Linked DNA regions of Xenopus tropicalis. The protein of the gene in region 3 interacts with the protein of the main gene of each other region in a biochemical or structural test. Links are inferred from orthologs where the notes say so. Each region holds a gene or a part of one and is shown on either strand. Other genes may lie near its edges.

The links.
Region 1: of the proteins of ehmt2 (region 3) and lig1, one has a biochemical effect on the other in vitro, tested with the Homo sapiens proteins (3 studies listed by BioGRID). The link is inferred for Xenopus tropicalis from reciprocal best matches to the Homo sapiens genes EHMT2 and LIG1.
Region 2: the proteins of ehmt2 (region 3) and cbx1 form a complex in vitro, tested with the Homo sapiens proteins (2 studies listed by BioGRID). The link is inferred for Xenopus tropicalis from reciprocal best matches to the Homo sapiens genes EHMT2 and CBX1.
Region 4: the proteins of ehmt2 (region 3) and cbx3 are reported together in a solved structure, tested with the Homo sapiens proteins (2 studies listed by BioGRID, with this or other methods). The link is inferred for Xenopus tropicalis from reciprocal best matches to the Homo sapiens genes EHMT2 and CBX3.

What each region holds. Positions count from the first base shown.
Region 1 is NC_030683.2:103,533,936-103,539,759, reverse strand, and holds part of lig1 (DNA ligase 1), read right to left. Parts: intron 5,821-5,824; coding exon 5,407-5,820; intron 4,720-5,406; coding exon 4,608-4,719; intron 4,400-4,607; coding exon 4,292-4,399; intron 2,282-4,291; coding exon 2,225-2,281; intron 887-2,224; coding exon 714-886; intron 184-713; coding exon 17-183; intron 1-16.
Region 2 is NC_030686.2:11,721,243-11,727,806, forward strand, and holds the start of cbx1 (chromobox protein homolog 1), read right to left. Parts: upstream 3,487-6,564; 5' UTR 3,365-3,486; intron 1,345-3,364; 5' UTR 1,315-1,344; coding exon 1,175-1,314; intron 1-1,174. UniProt on the Homo sapiens protein: Component of heterochromatin. Recognizes and binds histone H3 tails methylated at 'Lys-9', leading to epigenetic repression. Interaction with lamin B receptor (LBR) can contribute to the association of the heterochromatin with the inner nuclear membrane.
Region 3 is NC_030684.2:73,984,366-73,990,189, forward strand, and holds part of ehmt2 (histone-lysine N-methyltransferase EHMT2), read right to left. Parts: intron 2,717-5,824; coding exon 2,585-2,716; intron 2,315-2,584; coding exon 2,118-2,314; intron 1,542-2,117; coding exon 1,457-1,541; intron 1,381-1,456; coding exon 1,310-1,380; intron 1,210-1,309; coding exon 1,060-1,209; intron 965-1,059; coding exon 917-964; intron 813-916; coding exon 704-812; intron 565-703; coding exon 466-564; intron 1-465. UniProt on the Homo sapiens protein: Histone methyltransferase that specifically mono- and dimethylates 'Lys-9' of histone H3 (H3K9me1 and H3K9me2, respectively) in euchromatin.
Region 4 is NC_030682.2:41,662,515-41,669,069, forward strand, and holds the start of cbx3 (chromobox protein homolog 3), read left to right. Parts: upstream 1-2,248; 5' UTR 2,249-2,294; intron 2,295-3,142; exon of another isoform or gene 3,143-3,166; coding exon of another isoform or gene 3,167-3,216; intron 3,217-5,550; coding exon of another isoform or gene 5,551-5,656; intron 5,657-6,092; exon of another isoform or gene 6,093-6,107; coding exon of another isoform or gene 6,108-6,122; intron 6,123-6,263; coding exon of another isoform or gene 6,264-6,266; coding exon 6,267-6,403; intron 6,404-6,555.

The DNA.
Region 1 (5,824 bases), on a different chromosome or scaffold from region 3:
CTAAATTTGTACTTACAGCATTGCCAGTCATCCTGGCTATATCTTTCAGCTTGCTAAAAACACCTGATGCCATGAGCTTTGGGGGTGTAAACATAGTGCGCTGGTTGCTACGACTACTTTCAGCAACCAGGCCAAGGTCTCCTTTCTCTTGTGCCTCAGACTTTATTTTCTCAAGCTGGCGTCCTATGGATTTAAAAAAAGACATTTACAGATTTATTGACTGAATTTGCCTTATTAGGAACAAATCCTCTGAACAGCATAGCAAATCAGATTTCACAGGACATAAGTATAATTTGACCTATATTCACCTTTACCATTTACAAGACAACCCTGTAATGCATCATTAACAAATATAAAATTGATCTCTTTAATGGGAAGAAATGCACTTTTTCATCAGACATAGAAAGGGTAGTAAGGCAACAACCTATTAACCCCTGTAAAAACTATAATACTATAGTTTACTGTTGGAATAATAAAATACACAATGTAAACAAAGTGGATCAACAAAAAGGCACAGGTGGAAAAATGACTCCACCCAAACCTGAAACGCAACACACTGTTCTTTAATAGGTCCCAAAGTGCACTGCAGGTAATTAAGGTAGGGAATTCGGTCTTGTTCTTAAGAAACCTGACTGCATCTCAACTACACCCAGGGGAACATAAAACGAGTGGAACCTTAAAACTAAAAAGGACAATTTGAGACAGACTCATACCTGTAGCCTGGGCAACTGCTTTCATCAATATAGTTTCTCCTATGCCGAGCTCCAGTCCTTCATAGGCAGGTCCCAAGCGGTTCAGACAAAGATAGATGCAAGGCAAGAGGTCCCCAGGAGTGAGAGCAATGACGGAGCGCAGAAAATTACTGAGAGTCTCTATGTTCTTAAGTCTGAAGCACAGAATGATATTTAAAAGAGAACTTTTAATATTTTTCATTTATTTTGGAAAAAACGGGTCATATGGGTCATAGTAAGTGAAATTACCACAAGCCATTTATCAGTAGGCACTATAGAACTTAGAATTAAAAAATTAAATAGAAGTCTCTCCTCTAAAAGCAATAATACCATCTACTGACCAAAACAATTACTACAACTGCTAATAATGCTAAAATGACTGTGACTTGAATGCCCAAGAAGAAGAAACCAATGGGAAGTTTTCCAAGTAGTAAATAATAAGACACTACTGATGCTAGGATAGTCCCCACATGAGCATGAAAAATTTAAAATATTCTGGGGTGTAAATGCAATGCTAAAGACAGCATCATCTACTTCTGCTGCATGGCATCTATAAAGCGCTATTAAAGGTCATTTTAGAGATGTCCTCTTCTTGGTTGCAAATATATGCTAAACACGATAGTCTACATTATGGACAAGATGCTGTATTAATAGTGTCCATGTTTCGGCATTATTGTTGTTACCTGTTCTTTCCACTCTGAATTTTATAAATTGTTAAAGGGAGCACCTACCAACTGTAGAGAGACAAAGTAAAGTGCAGAGTGTGTACAGGATCAAAGTCAATATAGAAAATTACACTAATGGGAAAAACCCAAGCAATCCACAGCTTCCACCACTCACTTTTGCCAGATCAGATTAAAATACCGTATGTCAAAAGAAAAAAAAAGGGAAAAAGATTAAAATTCTAGGGTAGAGGCAGGATCATTGGTAGTCATATTCCTATACCAATAATGTCTTGAGGGTAGTTCATGGGGGGAATTTTAATAATAGTGACTATGGCGTTCAGGACACCTTCGATATCAGCTACCACATATTGCAACTGATAAATAGAGCTGGGCACAATAAGAATCCTATCTGTTCTGATGCTATACCTGCTATTTCAACAATCAATTAGGCACTCTGAGACATCCAGCCTACAGCCATCCCTTCTATCAAAAATCCACCCCCTATACCTCCCATCAACAACGATGAAGTTCACGACAGCTAAAAGTGGCTGACGCGCATTTTGCTCGGTCAGCTCAAGCTTTGTCAAAGGCTGACCGAGTGAAACGTGTGTCAGGCGCTTTTAGCTGGGGGTAGACAGGCAGGGTGTTAGGTGGGTGGTAGCCGATACTAAAGGTGTCCTGAACGCCACAGTCAACATACAAAGTTTTATTTAGTCACATATCTGATCTGGCAGAAGTGAGTGCAAGCTGTGGATCGCTTGGGTTTTTCCCACTAGTGTAATTTTCATAGAAAAGGCATATCACCTGTATTAATAATAAACTAATTACCGTGCAGATTCCTCTTCTATCCTCTCAAAGGTTCGTGCAACAGCAAGGTATGGCACCCTAGGACAAAAGAAATAAAACACAGCATTAAGATCCAAAGAACACAAAGATTGCCAAAAGCCATGTCTTTTTAACATTGCTGAGGGGAAGGTATTTCTTTTAGCATGTCACACTAAACCAAAAACTGCATTAAGAGGTTATCACTATCACTTTCAACTTCTAAAAGAACCCAAAAGTATTAAAGTAAAAATCCATACAATTTACTTTTGCAGAATAGTTCTTATAAGCAGAAAATATGCCCATAGAAATATATATAATGTATATAACTATAACAAAGAGATGTGCTGGTCATTATGGATCAATCCCCCTTGGTCTATACAATTTTGCCCAATACAATACTATATACATCTCAGCCTCCCTCACCATAAATATAAAGCAGCATTGTGCTTGCCTTGAAACAACAAGGTGATTGGTGGTGAGGAGGACATGGTTGATAATTTTGGCCATCTCTGGTGTAAAAAAATAAATAAATAAAAGTAACAATAATAATAAAATTGTAGCATTACAGAGCAAGTTTTTGGTTTTGAAAGCTGGAAAGAGGCAGAACAGAAAGGAAAATAATTTTAAACTATAAAACACAAATAAAACCAATTGCAAAGTTGCTAGAAATTGGGCATTCTATAACCTACAAAGAGTTAAATAAAAGGTGAACCACCCCTTTAAGGATTGATTAGAAAGACAAAAGCAGTTTCTTGGATTTCCAATGAACACTAAATATGGGACAGCAACGAATAATAAAGTGTCAAAGGCTGCAGATAGGTCTAGCAGAACTGACATAGTATTGGCTTCTGGATATAGCAGTGTGCCAATAGTTTGCTATTTTAGAAAGGGATGGGTGAGGGCAAAAACCAGATTGCAGTGGGTCTAGTAGAGAATAAGATTATAGAGATATAATGTGACTGTGTATGTGCTGTACATGCAGAAATTTTGAAGAGACAGGAAGGTGACAGACTGGCCAATAGTTAAAGAGAATTGTAGGTGGGAGATCGTACTGAAGTTGCCAGAGCAGAAATGTGAATAAGAATGGTAGAAGGAAACGCTTTTTTTATGGGTTAAAAAAAGGTGCTGTTCCAAACCCTGTCCACCCCTGACTGACAGTATTTAAAATCGCTATACTGTAATTTGCTATGTTGCATCCCCAGACTGATGAATTAAATGAATCTAAGAACAGGACATGAATTCACACCTAGTGCCTGTTATATGATAATGGTTTGGCCTCAGATATACCCAAGATGCAGTTAAGCTAGGGGTATGATAAGGTTTGTAACAGATCAAAGCAAAGCATGAACTTAGTGGGCAAAATCAGTTATGGCAACAGTACAGAAATTTATTAAAAAAACAATATAATCAGTATAACCATGAGTTAATGGTTGCTAGGGAAGAAGTTAAATCAATTTCAAGGGCAGAGGCTTTCAAGAGAAAAAGTCGGTTGATAAATCTCAAAGAATTTCCTGTTACCTCCTATGATACTAATTCTAGAGCGTGTAGGAACATTATTTTGAAGCATTGGTGAATTTTAAGAACAGACCCCAAATTTGGTCACCTCTTTAAATTAGCACAGTCAACTATATGCAATTATCATCCTCCACCCCCCAAAACTGAAAAAGGCAAAGATACAGAGAAAAACAAAAAAGAAACTTTATTGGCAAAACATGTTTTTACTCATGGACATAGTCTCTCAAGTAAGATGGCAGATACTTGAACAAGTTGTTACTAAACAGGGGTACAACTAAAAGACAATATTGCTTCAGAGCGAATTCTACTGGTTTTGATTTGGTTATTACAATCCCGACATCCTAAAGGCCTAAATGAGGACTAACTGAGGCCTAAATGAGGACTAACATGGCCTGTTTCTTATAATTTTTCTTTCAGATAAACAGTCTGCCTGAATATACGACAGGGACAGGTACTAGCTTCCCCCTGCAGATAAGTATGTTCTGGGATCTAATTTAGTTATAAGAATCCCATCAGAGAACAAGAACATTAAAAAGCAACAGCTACAAAACTTACTTCTGTCCATTAGACCAGCAAGCATCATTTATGGGGTGATAACTACTCTTGGATGGGTTATACACTGCCTGGTCTTCTGATGGTTCTGGCTTTATTGCTCCAAAGAAACTGAAATGGAAATAAAAAGGTCAGTAAGTTTTTGTGTACTAGAAAGATGTTTTCAAATGTTGAGGCATTTTAGAAATAAAAGTAATTAAAAAGTAAATAATTTAAGATTAACAAATCTGCCCTGTAACTATTGACAGTTACCTTTGAATTGCATGGCATGTCTTTCCTCTATTTTTCACAAATTATACCAGTTATTTGGAGGCCATACCTGCTAACTGTCTTTTTAGGTTTGGGGGATGCTTCCAAAGAGGTCTCACTTGCATTCTTTTCATTCATAATTTCCTCTTTTTTTTCTGTCTTTATTGCAGGTTTCTTTGGGGCTGTAGGTGAAAAAAATAATAAAACAAAACACATTTAGCCGTTACAAAGGTAATTAAGGCATGGGATCCAAAATCCAGAAATTCGTTATTCAGAGAGCTCCAGTTGAAAGGAAGGCCAATTCCCACAGACTCCATTTTAATTAAAAAAAATCTAATTTTCTCTGCTCTCTAATAATGAAACAGTAACTTGTACCGGATCCCAACTAAAATATAATTAATCTTCATTGCAGGCAAACCAGTCCTATTGTGTTTAATTAATGTTTAAAAGATTAGACTTCATGGAGACCCAAATTACAAAAAGACCACTCATCCAGAAAACACCAGGTCTCAAGCATTCTGGATAACTGGTCCCAAACCAGTTCCTGACAAAAAGTTTATTGTTCTTTATAAAATTAAATTTAATTTGTACTTTTAGATTTTTGCTTCTGGTTTTTTAACATGCACAAAGATTTCCCCAGTCAGAATGATGCATGGTTTTGGTTTAACTGCATTATAAGCTGCTTGGAACAATGCATCAGCAGGCAAAGACACCAAACTCTGTCAGTGATGTCTGCAGATAACCTTCACCCCACCCTTTATTTAAAGGTATTGTGTACATAAGGAATATTAGGGATGTCCAACAATCTTATAAAACGTTTAGCTTTTACAGTTTTAAGACCATGGCTCACAGTGGAATAAAGTACTCACCAAAGAAGCTGCTTATTTGTTTCACGGGTTTAGCAGGATCTGCTTTCTTCTCGGGCTCCTCATCACTTTTTTCCTCGCTACTTTTTCCTTCACTGTCATCTTTTGAAGATACCTTATCGCTAAATTTCACTTTCTTTTGCAATGGACTGTGTTTCTTTCCTGACTTTGCCTTTGGCGTTTTTGGCTTGGAATTAGGACTGGTAGATTTAGGCTGCAGTTCTTTATCTTTAGGCTCAGATTGTTCTCTTCCTGAAACATCATCCTTTTGGTCTAAAAGTTCCACATTCTGATCATCCACTTTGGATTTTTCTTCTTGAACCACTTCAGCATTTGCCTCTTTCTTTATGGAGCATTCCTCTTCCATGGAGATATTGTGACCTGTCTCCATGGGTTCTTCTTGTTGAACATTTCCCTCTGT
Region 2 (6,564 bases), on a different chromosome or scaffold from region 3:
TTCCCTGCTTTGGGGGTTCTGACTTTTGAAGCAATAAAAAAAACACAAGGCAGCAGCCTTGCTGACCTTTGCCGACAATAGCTTTTTGGCTGCTGGGGTCAGTGACCCCCCCCATTGGAAAGCTGGAAAGAGGCAAATAATTCAAACACTGCTAAAAATGAAGACCAACAGAAAAGTTGCTACAAATATGACAATTGTACTAAAAAAAAACATGAAACATATTTTTACTGTCGAACGTATGATTTTCTCTGTGGCAGCTCCTGGCAGTGGGCAAATTTAACTCTATAAGTGCCAGGCTAAAGCCCCTTATCTATAACCCCTGCAGCCTTAGTGGTAATTACAGGGTTCAGTAATTGGTTCTGCTGAAGATACACTACTATGGGTCAGACCAATTGGCCTCTGAATTGCTCAGGTTCCCCCAGTCACATGTGTAATACTGGGTACCCCTGTGCAGGGAGCCCTCCATACACCCATCATAGAGGCATCCGTATGTAATACACATGTATAATATTGAGTCAGATGCTGAGCTGGTAACATATCTACACCCAATCAGAACCCCAGATCCTCTTTAACAGTACACTGTATGGCTGTGCTGCAAACATTGGCTGCCTGAGATAAGAAAGGTGGCAAAAGGCCCATTTGAATTCCACTCAGAACCTCTGATAAACACAGCAACTGAAGAACCAACCAGCAGCCACAGTATATAGATATCAGTTGGGATCAATAACGGGGAGCAAAAAAGTACAATGAGCAGACGCTGGTTAAAATCCCTCATATTCAGCTGTAAAAAAAAGTTATTAACCCATGAGTAAAGCCTTAGGCGTTTTGGGCTTCCCTCACACTCAATGGCAGGCTGAGTCACTTTTTAAGGCGAAATAAAAAACAAAAAAAATTAGCCAATCGGTGGATACAAGATTTCCTTGGGGGGGGGGGGGGGAGGAGTCTCAGTTTAACTTTTGATGTAAGTTGTCATAATGAACACTAATATTTGTGTTTACTTCCCCTTTTGTTTTTTTCCTGATCGGTTGGATATCAGGTTTCCAGATAAGAGACCCCATACCTGTAATATTTTACAGTAATACAGACGCGGCGTGCAGGTTTATGAACGCTCCCCTTACCGGTTCAATGTGCATTAGCAGCGCATAAGGACAAGAAACCATGGAGCAGCACTTACTCAGAGAAACCTTTCCATTTCAGGAGATACTCCACTTTCCCTTTCACCACCCGTCGGTCCAGGACCTTCTCCACCACGTACTCCTCCTCCTCCTCGTCGACAACCTCTTCCATCTTTTTCTTGTTCTGCTTCTTTCCCATGGAGGTCGCCAGTTTATCTGCTTAATGGAGCTGCATGGGAAGAAAGAGGAGAACTTGGTGACTTATAATATCCTTATGCTTTACATAAGGGGGTACATAATTCCCTATATGTGTATGTAGTTTGCATTACTGTGTGGGGTTACATGTTTGAATCCAGCCAGGGCACACATCCGCATGAAATATGTATGTTCTCCTTATATCTGCGTGGCTCTCCCACACTCCAAAACCATACAGGCAGGTTATTCGGCTTCTAATAAAAGCGACCCTAGTGCGTGTACCTTAGATTGTAAGCTCTACTGTCAGGGACTGATGGTAGTGATGAACCCCCAACACCCAGTCATAATTTTCAGCTGCCGGCAGGAAATAACAAAACCGAAATATACAAAATAAATAATAAAGGTCAAGCGAAAAGTTGTTCATAGGTCTATCTACAACACACTAAGAGTTCATGCAAACATCCCCTTTAATGGCCTGAGCCGATGTGTGAGAGATACGACACAGCTGCAGATGTCACAGACTGTCTCGGATTCACATAACTGATCCCTATTGCAGCGCCGAGACAGCGCAGATTAGACTGCAAGCTCTGGGAGACCCATAAAGGAGACGGTATAATGTAGCCTGGGACTACAGACAAGATTTTACTGAAGGCTCCGGCTTGACTCCTACAGCCCTGCTGTCCAGGCGGAGGGTCCCCAGGGCCAGATGTTTCCCTCCATGGGATTGTTATGGCCTCAGGATCTATTACAGCAGTGGTCCCCAACCTTTTTTGCACCACGGACCGGTTTCAAGCAAGACAATTTTTCCAAGGACCGGGGATGGGGGGGTGTGGCGCAACTAGTGCATACTATGCACGTTATTATTATTATTATTATTATTATTATTGCATACAGCTTAATAAAGTACTTTGGTCCTTGTCGTGATCAGTAGAAATCTTCCTGGGCTCCGCATAGCTATTGTCATGGCTGTGTAACGCATCAGGGAGTTGGGATCACGGGTAATTGGGACCAGAGGTGGCCCGGTTCAGCACAGCCCATGGACCGGTGGTTGGGGACCCCTGTATTACAGGGCTCCACAGACTATTCATTCAAAATAATCCAGACCCTAAACGTGCAATACATTTGGTAGCCATGCAGACACAGTGCACAGAATGAATAGGAGTAGCCTTGAGTGAAGCTGTGCCACGTGCCAGGCTGCCTGGCTTAGAGCTAACACTCCCCCCCCAGCCTGGCATTGCCCCCCCCCGCCTGGCTCTGTTACACACATGCTATATGCATTTCACCTCAGGAACTTGCTCCTTTGCCCCCATTCTGCAGCCTCTTCTATTTCTGCACTTTGCTACTGAGTGAGCGACTCCCCACACAATGTACAAAGCTAATTATGGCTCCCAAAGAATGAAAGCTCTGCAGCCAAATAATACCAGCTGTGTGGGAGTGTTTGCCCCTCACATTCCCCTGGCCGGAGGTTACATCACGTTGGCTACTGCAGCCCTGCGAGTGTGGGGCCCCACAGCCAACATTCCCTCTGCTTTTCTATGGGCCAGACGTGCAGAATTCAGGTTTTGTGGCCTGAGGTGCAATGTGCGCACACAGGGCCTTGGGTGCATCTGGGGGATAATATGCCAACCTTACCCCCTGGGGATAGGAGCCACCATGTGACTGGGCACTATGCATAAAGTTTGGGAAGAACATTGTACCAAGAGTGGGCCACTGACTACAACTCCCAGCATCCCCCACAAAACCCTGGGAAACAAAGCTACATCCATAGTGCAAACATGGACTTGTGAAATCCCTGTAACAAGTTATACCCTGTGCTGGGAATGCTGGGAAGTGTAGTTTTCAGAGCAGTTGGAATGCTACAGGTTGATGGAGGCAAATCACTAGTGAATTAAGTTGCAAGAACTTGTTTGTGTGCGAATAACAGAACGTTGCTGGCTGCATGTTACGCACTACAAATCCCAGCATGCTCAGCGGCCCGTTTCCCAGAGGAATGGGAGGGGGCAGTCCGGCAGTAGGGAGAGAAGGCGCACATGCGGGGATCAGGCCGCCCTTACCCGCCGCTTGCTTGGGCTCCCCGGTGCCTGGGGCCTGGGATCGGTCCGGCTGCGCGGCTGGAGCTCGCTTTCTTCTCGGCTATTGGAGCGGGTTCCGATCCCCTGAATGAACAGAACAAATTGATTCCTGTGCGTCCCGATCCGGTTCGGTTCTAAGGATGTGGCGCCTCCAAACAAAAGAAGCAGCGCTGCCGCCAAGGGATCGGGGGAGTGCGCATGCGCGGGGGGAGAGCCGCCTAGCATGGCGGGAAGTGTAGTTCTTTCCCTGGGAGCCATGTACGGGCCGAGTGGGCAGTGTTTAATGAGCTTATCTGTTGCTGGCTGTGTGGGGCCATGATAGTGGCTAGTAGGCGTGAAGGCTGCTGGCTGTGTGGGGCCATGTTAGTGGCTAGTAGGCGTGAAGGCTGCTGGCTGTGTGGGGCCATGTTAGTGGCTAGTAGGCGTGAAGGCTGCTGGCTGTGTGGGGCCATGTTAGTGGCTAGTAGGCGTGAAGGCTGCTGCCTGGTCCGGCACAGATTTAGCCCCTCAGTGTGGAGCCCGGGAATCACTTCACTGTTTTTATAGTCGCTGCACAGTTAAAGCTGGAATGGGAAGGGGTCGGTAGGTATGGCACTGGGGTGAGAGACTGGGGGGGTGGGCAGGTATGGCACTGGGGTGAGAGACTGGGGGGGTGGGCAGGTATGGCACTGGGGTGAGAGACTGGGGGGGTGGGCAGGTATGGCACTGGGGTGAGAGACTGGGGGGGTGGGCAGGTATGGCACTGGGGTGAGAGACTGGGGGGGTGGGTAGGTATGGCACTGGGGTGAGAGACTGGGGGGGTGGGCAGGTATGGCACTGGGGTGAGAGACTGGGGGGGTGGGCAGGTATGGCACTGGAGTGTGAGACTGGGGGGTGGGTAGGTATGGCACTGGAGTGTGAGACTGGGGGGGGTGGGTAGGTATGGCACTGGGGGTGAGAGACTGGGGGGGTGGGTAGGTATGGCACTGGGGTGAGAGACTGGGGGGGGTGGGTAGGTATGGCACTGGAGTGTGAGACTGGGGGGTGGGTAGGTATGGCACTGGAGTGTGAGACTGGGGGGTGGGTAGGTATGGCACTGGGGTGAGAGACTGGGGGGGGGGTAGGTATGGTACTGGGGTGAGAGACTGGGGGGGGTGGGTAGGTATGGCACTGGAGTGTGAGACTGGGGGGTGGGTAGGTATGGCACTGGAGTGTGAGACTGGGGGGTGGGCAGGTATGGCACTGGGGTGAGAGACTGGGGGGGGGGGTAGGTATGGTACTGGGGTGAGAGACTGGGGGGGTGGGCAGGTATGGCACTGGAGTGTGAGACTGGGGGGTGGGTAGGTATGGCACTGGAGTGTGAGACTGGGGGGGGTGGGTAGGTATGGCACTGGGGTGAGAGACTGGGGGGGTGGGTAGGTATGGCACTGGGGTGAGAGACTGGGGGGGGTGGGTAGGTATGGCACTGGAGTGTGAGACTGGGGGGTGGGTAGATATGGCACTGGGGTGAGAGACTGGGGGGGGGGGTAGGTATGGTACTGGGGTGAGAGACTGGGGGGGGTGGGTAGGTATGGCACTGGAGTGTGAGACTGGGGGGTGGGTAGGTATGGCACTGGAGTGTGAGACTGGGGGGTGGGCAGGTATGGCACTGGGGTGAGAGACTGGGGGGGGGGGTAGGTATGGTACTGGGGTGAGAGACTGGGGGGGTGGGCAGGTATGGCACTGGAGTGTGAGACTGGGGGGTGGGTAGGTATGGCACTGGGAGTGTGAGACTGGGGGGGTGGGTAGGTATGGCACTGGGGTGAGAGACTGGGGGGGGTGGGTAGGTATGGCACTGGGGTGAGAGACTGGGGGGGGTGGGTAGGTATGGCACTGGAGTGTGAGACTGGGGGGTGGGTAGGTATGGCACTGGAGTGTGAGACTGGGGGGTGGGTAGGTATGGCACTGGGGTGAGAGACTGGGGGGGGGGGTAGGTATGGTACTGGGGTGAGAGACTGGGGGGGTGGGTAGGTATGGCACTGGAGTGTGAGACTGGGGGGTGGGTAGGTATGGCACTGGAGTGTGAGACTGGGGGGGGTGGGTAGGTATGGCACTGGGTGAGAGACTGGGGGGGTGGGTAGGTATGGCACTGGGGTGAGAGACTGGGGGGGGTGGGTAGGTATGGCACTGGAGTGTGAGACTGGGGGGTGGGTAGGTATGGCACTGGAGTGTGAGACTGGGGGTGGGTAGGTATGGCACTGGGGTGAGAGACTGGGGGGGGGGTAGGTATGGTACTGGGGTGAGAGACTGGGGGGGTGGGTAGGTATGGCACTGGAGTGTGAGACTGGGGGGTGGGGTAGGTATGGCACTGGAGTGTGAGACTGGGGGGTGGGCAGGTATGGCACTGGGGTGAGAGACTGGGGGGGGGGGGGTAGGTATGGTACTGGGGTGAGAGACTGGGGGGGTGGGCAGGTATGGCACTGGAGTGTGAGACTGGGGGGTGGGTAGGTATGGCACTGGAGTGTGAGACTGGGGGGGTGGGTAGGTATGGCACTGGGGTGAGAGACTGGGGGGGTGGGTAGGTATGGCACTGGGGTGAGAGACTGGGGGGGGTGGGGTAGGTATGGCACTGGAGTGTGAGACTGGGGGTGGGTAGATATGGCACTGGGGTGAGAGACTGGGGGGGGGGGTAGGTATGGTACTGGGGTGAGAGACTGGGGGGGGTGGGTAGGTATGGCACTGGAGTGTGAGACTGGGGGGTGGGTAGGTATGGCACTGGAGTGTGAGACTGGGGGGTGGGCAGGTATGGCACTGGGGTGAGAGACTGGGGGGGGGGGTAGGTATGGTACTGGGGTGAGAGACTGGGGGGGTGGGCAGGTATGGCACTGGAGTGTGAGACTGGGGGGTGGGTAGGTATGGCACTGGAGTGTGAGACTGGGGGGGGTGGGTAGGTATGGCACTGGGGTGAGAGACTGGGGGGGTGGGTAGGTATGGCACTGGGGTGAGAGACTGGGGGGGGTGGGTAGGTATGGCACTGGAGTGTGAGACTGGGGGGTGGGTAGGTATGGCACTGGAGTGTGAGACTGGGGGGTGGGTAGGTATGGCACTGGGGTGAGAGACTGGGGGGGGGGGTAGGTATGGTACTGGGGTGAGAGACTGGGGGGGGTGGGTAGGTATGGCACTGGAGTGTGAGACTGGGGGGTGGGTAGGTATGGCACTGGAGT
Region 3 (5,824 bases):
AGTGGGAGTACCCTAAACTGACCGTTAATCACTGTTATGCAAACCACTTGCAAGTATCAGTGTTGATGGTTCTTGGGCTGAGAACATGCATTAGGGCCTTTTCAGGCTAAGAACCGCTGGTACTGAAGCTTGCAGGCAATTCTGGTAAGTTTTGTGGGTTTCTATTTCTTATTCAGAACAACGGGGTTTTATATGTATACATTACAATGTTAAATGTAGGTTAAAACTTACATTACATAAGTAAAAACGTGATAGTATCCCTTTGAAGAAAAAGTTAGCAATCACAGAAAGGCCAAAGAGAAAATTATTCAGTTATGGTTGAAAGACTGCATGAAAAAGGGTAAAGGGGCACAGAATATCAGATGTGGGATGTAGCACTGCCATGCAGGAGTGTGTGCAAGGTGGCTGTAAGATGACAGTGCTTAGATTACTAGCCATAGCTTGTTAACAGGCAAATTAAGTTACCTGCATGGTTGGGAGACAGTGTCCCCTCGCTGGGTAGATCCAGGGCTCCCAGAGGCACCTCTGTGTACTCACTGTTTGATACCCCCACGGAACTGACAGCTACAAGAGCGGGGTAACAAGAGGGGTGGTGGATCTGTGACTACCACAAGAGCACTCACCACCTATCTTGTGTTTCCTCCCACCACTTTTTCCCTCCTTCCAACTTACCCCCCCTTAACATCACCTGCCTTGAGCGTACCTGTTACTGGTTTCTCTCTCTCTCTACGTTTCCTTTTCCTTGTCGGCTTCAGCCAGGCTTTGTCCATTTTCCACTTCTTCTTAGTCTTTTTCTTCATGCTGCTTGAGCTCTGGTTAAGGAAGAGCTTTTTTAAGTAAACCCAATTTTTCTCACTTATGCTCATTATCTGTAGGATGTAGCCTATAGCCCTCACATTAAAGAATATCTAATTACCCGTTCAGATTGGTTGCCAGATCCTTCCTCCTCTTCATCCTCCTCCTCCTATAGACAATAAAAATAATGGTAGAAATGGTATTCACTTAACTTGGTATTCACAAAAGTTAAAAAATCTAAACAAAATTCGAAGTGTTCCTCACCTTGCTGTCACTGTCTCCTTGCTCCTCCAGGGAAAAACTATCGTAGAAGAGACTAAACTCTGCCCCCACTTCTGGCTCCCATTCTTCAGCATCTACTCCTTCTGGGTCCCTAGAAGAACCAGGCTCAGGGGAAAGGAGCAAGGAGGAGACCTTTGGATGTTAGAGGGATAGGGGAATAAGTACAATCCATTATTCAGTGATTGTCCTTTACCTACAACAATCTTCGTGCCTACAAACAACATTTACTTACCTCTACTTCTCTGGACTGGTTGGCTGATATATCTGCCACCAATGAAGAGCTAGATCTTTTCTGTGTAGAGTCTGGGCAGAGAGATATTAAAAGCATTAGAACCAAAAAAAAAAGGTAATTATTCTTAACACCCCTTGAAGTGCATACCTGGGCTGTCTCTCGTCTCCATCTCACTCTCTCTTCGGACACTCTGTTTTTCTCCATCAGATACAAGCACTCCATTTCCAGGCACCTGCAAAAATATTAATTAAAGAAATGTATATGACTTTTCATTCATAATAAAGTTGTGTAGTCACAAGGGTAAAAAAGTGGGTCAGCATCATCTAAAGGAGCTAAACCTCAGCCTGTAAAGTCCTTCTGGTTGTAGACAAGGTGTTAGGTATGTTGCAGATGATGCAAAAAAATGTTAATTGGCCTTATGGACCCTGAAGTCCTAGCAGCTGTGTTTTTCAGCATATAGTGTAATTCCACAGCTGGCCTCTTAATCCCAATACTGCAGTAGTTATCCTGCCAGTTCCAGTCACTACTTTTCAGGCCCCATCAGCTAATTTATTTCATTCAAATGAATGAGACAAGATTCATTTCCTATCTGCTGCAGCCACCACTTTCTACCTTTTCACCAGAATAAATCTTTGGGGTTTTTAAGCTGCCATTCTGTATAAACACTTAAAGGGAGTTTTTCACTCATTCATTGAAATGCAATATAAAGTTCCACATCTGCATCTGTTTAAGCTCTCTGCATATGTCCCTATAACATTGTAAAGCTAATCCTTTTTTTTTTTACTCTCAAGCATGTGCACAAACATACATTTACTGCTCGAGGGATGGTTTTCCTAGCACGATGCACCTTGTCTGCTCCATCCCTGGTGATATTCAGGAGTCTCATTGCCAAGCTCTGTGCAGCGTGGGGGAGCTTGCCAGTTCCTGTTAAAGACATCTTGGCTCTGCTGGAAATAGGTGAGGAAGAAGTTGAAGGAGGTGTTGGCAGAGACTTTGAGGCATGGCCTGGAAAAGAAGGGAGAGAACTAAGTATTGTCAGAATGATTCAACAAAGGATCAAATTGTCATTAAAGAAAACACGTGCAAAGTATGCTGGAACATTACATAGTACTGGTTGCCTGTGAAAGCACACTTCCTATTAATGCGGTACCTCATTTTTAGCTCTAGGTAGCTTCTATGATTTGCCTTATCATCTGTTACTTTCTTACTTCAATGATTCAGCTTCAGCTTCCCTATTATTTTTTTAGCCCTTAATAGCCATAGAACCACACTTACCAGAAAGTCCCCTCCCAACCGGGGAGATGTTTACACTTTCCTTCTCAGTTTCTTCTTTCTCCTCTACTGTGGGAATCACATCAGCTGGACTAATTTCCCTGGTGTTACTTAACTCTTCAGCATTGTCATCGCCTATCAAAGATAAGAGATTCTGTCAAAAAAAGAATTTAGCATCTGCATTGTGTGTACAAACTTTATCATAAAGTGGTTAAATAAAATCTGTATAGTTCTTCTTGTGTATAAAATCTACAAAAAGGTTGAATATGAGTTAATGTGTATTTTAACAAAAGAAATTATTATTGTTAACTTTAGACAAACTGATGTAACATGGTATAATTCATATTCTCTACTCAATTAAATCTTAATAGACAAAGGTTATGTGATATCGTTACCCAGATCAATGTCACCTTGTATGTATGTATGTATAACTTTATTTATAAAGCGCCACAAGGGTACGCAGCGCTGCACAGTCTTACAGAATACAAAATTACAGTGCCATGTGGTATGAGACACAGTAGGAAGGAGGTCCCTGCCCCGTAGAGCTTACAATCTGAGTGGTTGGGTAACATACAGGCACAAACTGGAAGGTAAGAGTGCATCAGGTATGGGCATTTGCCCTAAAGCGCAGGACTGGGCAAAATAATGTTTTAGTGCTCCAGAAGGTAACAGCTGAGTTTTTTCTTAAAGAGAGTGGGTGAGTTTTCCCTACGGAGGGATTCAGGGATAGAGTTCCAGAGGTAAGGAGCAGCGAGATAGAAAGGTTTAAGATGAGAGAGCGCAGTGGGTGTGGATGGTGTAAAGAGACGAATGCTCTGAGAGGAGTGGAGGAGACGACCAGGAACATGTAGGGAGACCAGTGAAGAAATGTAGTGAGGAGCAGAGGAGTGAAGGGCTTTGAATGTTAGCAGAAGGATTTTGTAAGCTATCCTTTGCTTGACAGGCAGCCATGCTAGTGAGCTTAATTAAGGCTGAGCAGGATCCCTCTTAGGGAGAGAGCAGGAGGATCCTGGCAGCAGAGTTTAAGATTGATTGCAGGGGAGAGAGGTGGGAGTCTGGGAGGCCGGTTAGTAGGAGATTGCAGTAATCTAAGCGGGAAAGGATAAGGGCATAGATTAGTGTTTTAGCTGTTGCTTGTGAAAGAAAGGGGCGTATCTTGGCAATATTGCGGAGGAAAAAGCGGCAGGTTTTGGCAGTGTTATTAATATGGTTAGAGAAGGAGAGAGACTGGTCAAAGATAACCCCAAGGCAGCGTGCAGAATTTACAGGGTTGATGGTCATGCCATCAATAGTAATGGTGAAAGGAGGAGGAGGAGGGCCAGGTTTGGGCGGGAAGACCATGAGCTCTGTTTTAGCTAGGTTAAGTTTGAGCTGGCGTCGGTTCATCCAGGAGGAGATAGCCAGGAGGCAGTTACCAATCTGGGTTTGGACATCAGCAGTTAGTGCAGGGGTGTCTAAATATATCTGGATGTCATCTGCATATAGGTGGTATTTAAGACCAAAAGAAGAAATAAGGTCTCCTAGAGAGAGAGTGTACAGGGAGAACAGCAGGGGACCAAGCACAGAGCCCTGAGGCACCCCCACACTAAGCGGAACCGGGGTAGAGGAGTTGTTAGTAAGAGCGACAGAGAAGGAGCGGTTAGAGAGATAGGAAGAGAACCAGGATGCAGCTTGATCCCGGATACCCAGAGAATGGAGAATTTGCATAAAAATAGAATGGTCGACAGTATCAAAAGCAGAGGAAAGGTCTAGGAGAATGAGAACCGAGTAGCGTCCTTTGGCCTTGGCAGTCTGGAGATCATTTGCCACTCTACATAAGGCCGTCTCAGTGGAGTGCGCAGGCCGAAAACCAGACTGCATAGGGTCCAGCAGATTATGGGTGCAGAGGAAGTTAGTTACACTAGAAAAGACAAGACGTTCCAGGAGTTTAGAGGCTAGGGGCAGGAGAGAGACGGGACGGTAGTTAGAAAGGCAGGACGGGTCCAGTGTAGCCTTTTTAAGAATGGGTTTGACACATGCTTGTTTGAAGAGAGAGGGAAAAGTACCAGAAGCCAGAGAGGAATTGAATATGTGGGTAAGAGCTGGAGTAAGGGCAGGGGGGCACTGTTTTAGCAGGGACGAGGGCATAGGATCCAGCGAGCAGGTAGTAGGCGGAGAGGATCAGAGAAGCTGAGAAACTTCAGACTCTGTTACGAGACTGAAGGAGCTGAATACGGAGAGAGGAGATTTAGGAAGGTTGAGATTACCGGTGTCCGAGGGTTGGGAAAATTGATTGCGGATAGAATCGACTTTGCTTTTAAAGAAGTCAGCAAAGTCCTGGGGGGTGTGTTCAGATATGATTGATTCATTAGGTGAGGGATGAAGTAGCGCGTTAAATATGGAGAATAAGCGCCGCGGGTTTGATTTATTATTATTTATAAGTGTGTTATAGTATGCTTGCTTGGCCTGGGATAGGGCAGTATTGAGGCACACCATAAGAAATTTATAATGGAGGAAGTCAGCTTTAACACGTGATTTCCTCCAAATGCGCTCAGCAGATCGTGCACAGGAGCGCAGAAATCGTGTCTGAGGGTTAAGCCAGGGACGGGGATTGCGGGCACGACTGCGTTGGGGCTGCAGGGGGGCATGGGTGTTAATTGCAGATGATAAAATTGAATTGTAGGTATTTACCAGTAACTCAGGATCAGAGGAAGCACAGGAGGAGGAGAGGCTAGAACTAAGAGAGTTAGAGAGAGCAGTTATATCAACCATTCGCGTGTTGCGAATCAGGGTTTTAGGCTGAGAGTTAGAGGGAGAATGAGACACGTGCGAGATGGAAAAGGAGATAAGATGATGATCTGAAAGAGGAAAAGGCTCACTGTTAAATGTAGATAGATCTAGATTTTTAGAAAAGACCAGATCTAGAAAATGACCATCCTTATGGGTAGCTGTATTAGTCCATTGCCGGAGATCAAAGGAGGAGGTTAGATGGAGAAATCGAGAGGGCCAGGGCTGAGAGGGGTCATCTATATGGCAATTGAAGTCGCCTAAAATGATTGCAGGGGTGTCAGAGCATAGAAAAAAAGAGAGCCAGGATTCAAAGTCAGAGAGAAACGTAGCCAAGGATTTTGAAGAAGGAGGTCTGTAAACAACTGTCACCCGCACAGAGAGAGGGTGGAACAGCTGAACCGTATGCACCTCGAAAGAAGGAAACCTGAAAGTAGGGGGTATAGGGATTAGTTTAAACCGGCAATGAGGGGAGAG
Region 4 (6,555 bases), on a different chromosome or scaffold from region 3:
AAACTGTTTTTGATAAAGTGATGTCTTTTTGTTTGTCTTAACTTCCCGTTAAAATTAAAAACCTGCTGCATTATTTTAAAGCACCTGTGAGATGGGATAAATCTTATTTTGTGGCTTTCCTTGTCCTTTAATGACATTAGCAGACACAGAATGTATGAATTTGGTGTTATTGGCGCCTTCCATCAGTTTGCTAGGAAGCTTAATTGGTGGTTTGCCACGGTTTTACAGCAAAATTCTGCAGTGCAATTGCACAAAATGTAAATGGTTTACATAAAGGAGAACAAGCTTGTTGCCAACAACAGTGTTAAAAGAAAAAGTGCATTAGTTATATACACCATTGCTTTACAGAAAAGTTGCATGGTTTATTCAGTTAAGAGTCATCTAGGTGACATTTGCATTGAACTTTTTATTCTGCTGGAGCGACCGCTATGCAAGAAGAGTTTGATAAATTGCGCAAAATTCTCTGGCCTCAGTTGCATGCAAAGTCTTTGCTTCAAAGGGCTCTCTTTGCATTTCTGTATAGTTGCACTTTGCACCACTCAGGCCTTCCTGTTCCATACTGAACGCAAATGTAATATTGATGCAGAGGAACCCTGGTGCTGCCATGTACGGACCAGGTGGTAGCTTCAGAGTTCCCTTTAGCACTCTGTGCCGCCTCAGGCATCCATGTTAATGCCGCCCCCTTGCGCTTAGCTTTGTTGCGTCAGTGGGGGGCTGCATTGCTAGTGCGGACAGCCGAAATTCTGATTTAAAAAACAGAAATTCAGCTCCTTAAAGGACAAGGAAAGGCTAAGTCACTTGGGGGTGCCAAAATGTTAGGCACCCCCAAGTGACTTTAATCGCTTACCTTGTACCCCAGGCTGGTGGCCCTGTTAGTAGAAAAGAGCAACGGCCAAGGGTACCTGTAGTGAGCGTTTCCTCCTTCCGGTTTCGTTTTGCAAGTACTACATGACAGGCGCATGCTCAGTAGAGTGAAAAAGCGACTTCTCTGTTAAAGTTCGGCTTTTCACTCTACTGCGCATGCGAAGATGTAAGGAGGAAGCGCTGCATCTACCTCGGGCTGGTGCTGTTCTCTCCGAACAGTGGCACCAGTCAGGGATAAAAGGTAGGCGATTTAAGTAACTTGGGGGTGCCCAACATTTTGGCACCCCCAAGTGACTTTGCCTTTCCTTCTCCTTTAAGTTACCAGGAGTGACTTTTGCTGCCCCTGGTAACTTGCCAGGCTCTGCCGTCTGAGGCGATAGGTGCAGGGGCACAGTTACTGTGAAGCGAGTTTAAAAACTCGCCTCAGGCAGCAGCACCCCCGAAGTTACCAGGGGAGGCAAATAGCCGCTCCTGACAACTTTAGGAGCCAAATTTCTGGTTTTTAAAAGGGAAATTTTGCTGCACTATAGCAGAGATTGCCATGGCACTCTCTACACTAGCGATGTGGCATGCCTGGACCCCCTCCCGTGCTGTAAAGGCATGGTAGGAACCTCCTCAGGTGGCTCAGGGGCAAGAAACACCCCTGGATAGGTGCAGTGCACTTGCATCTAGAGAATAGGTTCCTGACACTCTCATATTAAATGGACAGAATTTTTTTTAGCGCAATTGCATCTAATTTACAGCAAAGTTTGCCTGAAATTGCACTTGGCAGACTGCCCTGCACTTGTAAGCATAAATATTTTCTGTGTAGGTGATGTGACTGCTCAGCTGCCAGTGTATACCTAGAACGTCCAGATGATGAAACGCATACACTGGACAGACAGGGGAGTGCCTTCGTAAAATACACGAAAATGGCGGCCTAGTGAAGTGAAATATGTGTCAATGCCACATATTTCAAGCATTTTTTTTTTTTTTTTATTATTTGCAAACAAAACGACATGTATCAGTCAGACACCTACACGAGGAGCGACAGAGGCGGGCGGAGCCTGGGACCTACCTTTCAACACGTGACTCACTACTATTAAATATATAATTCGGGTTTTCTTTTATCATTAAGACCCTGACTTCATGGGCTCTTCAACTACACCCGTGTAGATTGTACCGGAATTGACATTAACTGCCCTCAAGGCAGGCTGTCCTATTTTGTCAGGGTGCCGCTTCCCTTAGACCCATGGTATTGAAAGAGTTACTGTTCGCGCCAGTAAATTCCCCGCCAGTGTGTTGGTAGGGCCCATTGTTCTGCGCGTCACTCGGGCCCTCCCACTCCTGCGCACATCGGAGCTGCAGGCAGCCGCGGCTTGGAGAGCGTTTCTCGGTGTGAGGGGGACGGAGCAGGAGTCACCGGGTGCTGGTTATCCAAAGAGAGTGAGGTACGGGGATGAGAGAGAGGAATGTTGTACCCGGGGGCATGAGGAGGGAGAGGAGCAGCATGGGAGAAGCACGGCCCGGCAGGGTTGGGGAGGCGGGAAAATTGCTGCTAGTTTGGGAGAGAAGCGGAGGCCTGCTGCAGAGTAGCAGCACAGACCAATGGGTGGGAGGCATTGTGTAAGGGCGGGGAGGCCGTTCTGCAAACATACTGCCTTGTCTTCAATTGCTGCTCACCGCTACCTGGGCTTGTTGGGAGCTGTAGTTCAACGGCAGAAAAAGTCACAACTTTCTATTTCACGTATATATCTTGCCGAATGAAGAGCGGCCCCCTAGCACTTATATGACGCTAGCAGTGTTAGTGGTATTCCGCCAGTATTCCCATGCCCGGTGCAGCGCACAGTAACTCTCACATAGTGCTAGGATGGATACCCCCTGAGTTTCTCTGTATCACTGGGTTTCTTTACAATGAAGCTAATGCTGTTCGGTACGGGGGGTGCGCAGGCGCGAAGGTTCGTGGCCTCTAGGTGGTTAGTAGGGAAAGTAAAGGGTATACAGGGCAATGGCTACCCGGGCTGGACAATCATAGGGAAAGCTCGGTGCCGCTGGTTATAATGGTTTCCAACTGTGCCATGCAGTTTCCCCTGCGACAGTCTAATCTCTAGTTTCCGTGAATGTGTGTTCCTCATCTCCCTCCGGAATACATTCGGTTAATCAATCATGTTGCGGCTCATTCACATGTACGCATGCGTGTTGGAGGGGGTGGGGGATGCTTTTGCTTTCCGGCTTGGGAGGTGAAGCGGCGTAAAACTTTATCTGGATGCACGTTGCGCAGAGCTGCTTTCACGCTAATGTTGTATGGGGGGGCGGGGGGGTTATGGAGTCTCGCACGGCAGTCACAGCAGAAAATTCCTGCCTTTGTTTCTGGTATGGCAGAATTTCGCCTCACGGCAGACCGCTTTCTCATTTCAAGGGACAGTGTATCCCGTGTTTATAGGATTGGCTTAGTGATAAGGGCGTGTGCTGAAAGGAGACTTATCATAACAAATTAAGAATGTACTAGTGAATTATACTTTAAATATAGAAGGATTGTGCTTTAAAATAGTTGTTTCAGACTGATTTATTGAAACATTATACACAGACCCCTCTAGTCCCGCCCATCTGTTCCACTTCCTGCAGGCTGAAATCTCTGGATGTGCAGGGGAACCACTGGCTCTTGGCACACTGCACTGTAGGATAGGAACCTACGCTAGGCGGACCCAATAGGGAACTGAAGTATGTCTTTGCTTGTGAATTCAACTGTTAGGATACTCCCGCCCTTCATTTGAAGCACAGAAGACTGATAGGATCTACATGGAGCTCCAGTAAAGGAGACCTTTTTACAGATAGGATTAATTTTTAGCCCGAAGTGACACCAGCACCATATAGTATTCATAAGTGCCTACAAAATTAGGGGTTTTTCCACTTATCCAATGTCTCATTGAACTTCATTTTTCCCTGTGTTAATTATTTATATTGTTTTATTCTTCTTTGCACTAAACAGGCCAGAATCTTCAGGTAGTCACTTAGAGGTGTTTAGATTAGTCCTTTTTCTGGAGCAATGAATTGCCTTTTGAGTGCTGAACCTGTTCTAATAATCAAATGAAAAACCAGTCTCTTAAGGTTTGGGATAATACCCCATAGTTTCCAGTGAAATTAAATCTCAAGAAAACCTAATTGACAGAGGTTAGGTTTTTATTTTTATCTCTGGAATAAAAATGTGCCAGCCTAGAGCTCTTTAAGTAGCAGTGATACCACAATACTGCACTTTTCCCTGGAATTCCTAGTGTAAACAGACTAGCACAAGCACGGTATACTACCATTGGAAAATTTTTATTAAACTGGACATGTGCAAGTTTGTGCTAGGAATCCTTGGGTAAAGTCTGGCACTTTTTGTGAGAATAGTTGGCCAAAGAAATAATTTTCTAACTTATTGGCACCCTTGTGCTTTAACATTATAACTTACTACATAGCAGGGAGCTAGCACCTAATTGTAAGCATAATACAGTTTGTGTTGGGATAATTTTGATAAGGCTGTGAAAAAGTGGTGCATATTGTCTTTGGAATGGTGCTCACAGTATTAGGGGCTGTTCCTTTACAGAAGAGGAGTGTTTCTATTAGGTTAGGTAGGATCAAGCATAGCAGCTATCAGTGGGCAGTGCTGGCACGGTGTGTACTGTGCTAAGAACTTGTACTGTATGTAATCAGGGAGCAGGAGGCTGGAAATTCTCTCATGTGACCAACAGTCTGAAGTGCCATTTTACACTAATGTTAACAGGAAAGTTTGAAATGGAGAGTACTAATTGCATATACAATTATTGGTTTATATTGATAACTACTGTATTAATAATGCATGTCTTGTAACATATGTTTCTGATATCTAAATGTCTCTTAAAGGGGTAGTGCACCCCAGTGAATAGGGCTTGTGCCAAATGCACTTCTATCTTATTTAAGAAAAACATTCTTGTGATTTCTTGTAGTAAACTGGCACAATCTAAAACAAAGTTGCATTCTACTTCCTGGCTGTATAATTAAGGTCAAAACAGATCTGCGTTCTACTGCTGTTCCTTATCTCTGTCTTACAGGCTGCAGCTGGGCAAGGAATCTTAGTGGGCAACTGATTTGTTTTGACCTTGATTGTAGGGACGGGAACTTTGAATGAAAGGGAACCCAAATGAAAATATCTGCTTTTGTTTTGTGCAAGAAATCTCAATTGTACCAACTAATTGCCCTGCATGTCTTTGCCCTTAAGTTACTTATTCTGCCACAGGCTAGCTGCAGTGAGTCAGACCAGATATAGTCTGTCTGGCTTTAGGCCACAAGGAATTTATTCAACTTAGTGTATGCCTTTTATAGAAAGGCTGCAACTGCAATGGGACCTATATGTAATTCATTAAGCATGCATTTTGTGCATGTTTATCTTAAAGGGGCTGTTTACTTTCCAAACACACTCGAGCTTAGTTTTTTTCTGGTGTACTATGTGAAAACGCTTGAACTGAAATCTGTTTGGAAGGCAAACAGCTTCTTTTTAAAATTGTTTTAGTTATAAACTGATGTGTGGTTAAAAATTTCTACATGCTGTCAGGACCTGATAATGGCTAGACCTTAAAGATGCATTGCATGCTAAAATATGTAACTTTGCTGTTGATGTAGCAGATGTGAGTGTTAACCACCATTTGTACTTGTGAACATTCATTTGTAGAAACTGTTTTTGATTTATAGGTTTGTTTATTTTTGCTGGGCTAATAATCCTAGCAGCCAGGCAGTATTTTGGAAGTCAGAAGTAAAGATGAAGAGTGGAGGACTTCCACAATTAGAAATTAACATGGTAACAATCTGATTTCTAGCTTCTATTTCTAGTATATTATATAGCATATGTGAAGGACTTATGTTGTAAGACAGGCAGTATTGTTTTGAGGGGGGGGGGAGCATCCCTCTCTTTGAGGGCATAAACAATATTACGTGTGCACTTTAGTTTGACATACATACATTATTGTCAAGCAATTATCTGGTTTCACCTTTTAAATAAGTTCTTAAGTGTCCCTTAACTTTAGTGCTCTAATGCTTTCTATGTTAAAGGGAAAATATACCTTATTCTTGACATGTAGAATAAGTAGTATCTGAACTTTCAAATTGTAATAAAATAATATATTTATATTTACAGACATCACCTTTCATTAGGAGGTGATTAATTCTGCAAATTGAAGTCCCTCTGCTTTCCGTAGCGGGTGGTGCACATTCTCTGGGAAGCTGTGGGATTTTCGCAGAATCACTTCACAATGGAACAAAGATGGGTATATTTGCCCTTTAAGCCATTGGTCGAACTATTAAGATGTACTAAATTTTTTTTTTTTTTTTTTTAAATGTACCTTTTGAGTTTCCTTCTTACAAAATAGATATGTATACTTAACCAATATATATTTCTTTTTCCACAGACCATGGGAAAGAAACAGAATGGCAAGGGCAAGAAAGTGGAGGAAGCAGAGCCTGAAGAATTTGTTGTAGAAAAAGTTCTGGACAGACGTGTAGTAAATGGAAAGGTTGAATATTATCTCAAATGGAAAGGTTTCACAGAGTATGTAGTGTTAACATTCAACTTCTACCACAGCATTTTATTGATATTGAACAGTATTTAGAAATTTGATGAAAACATTTTTTAGTATTAGAGATGTTTTTTAAAGGAGAAGGAAAGGCTAAGTCACTTGGGGAAGCCAAAATGTTAACGTT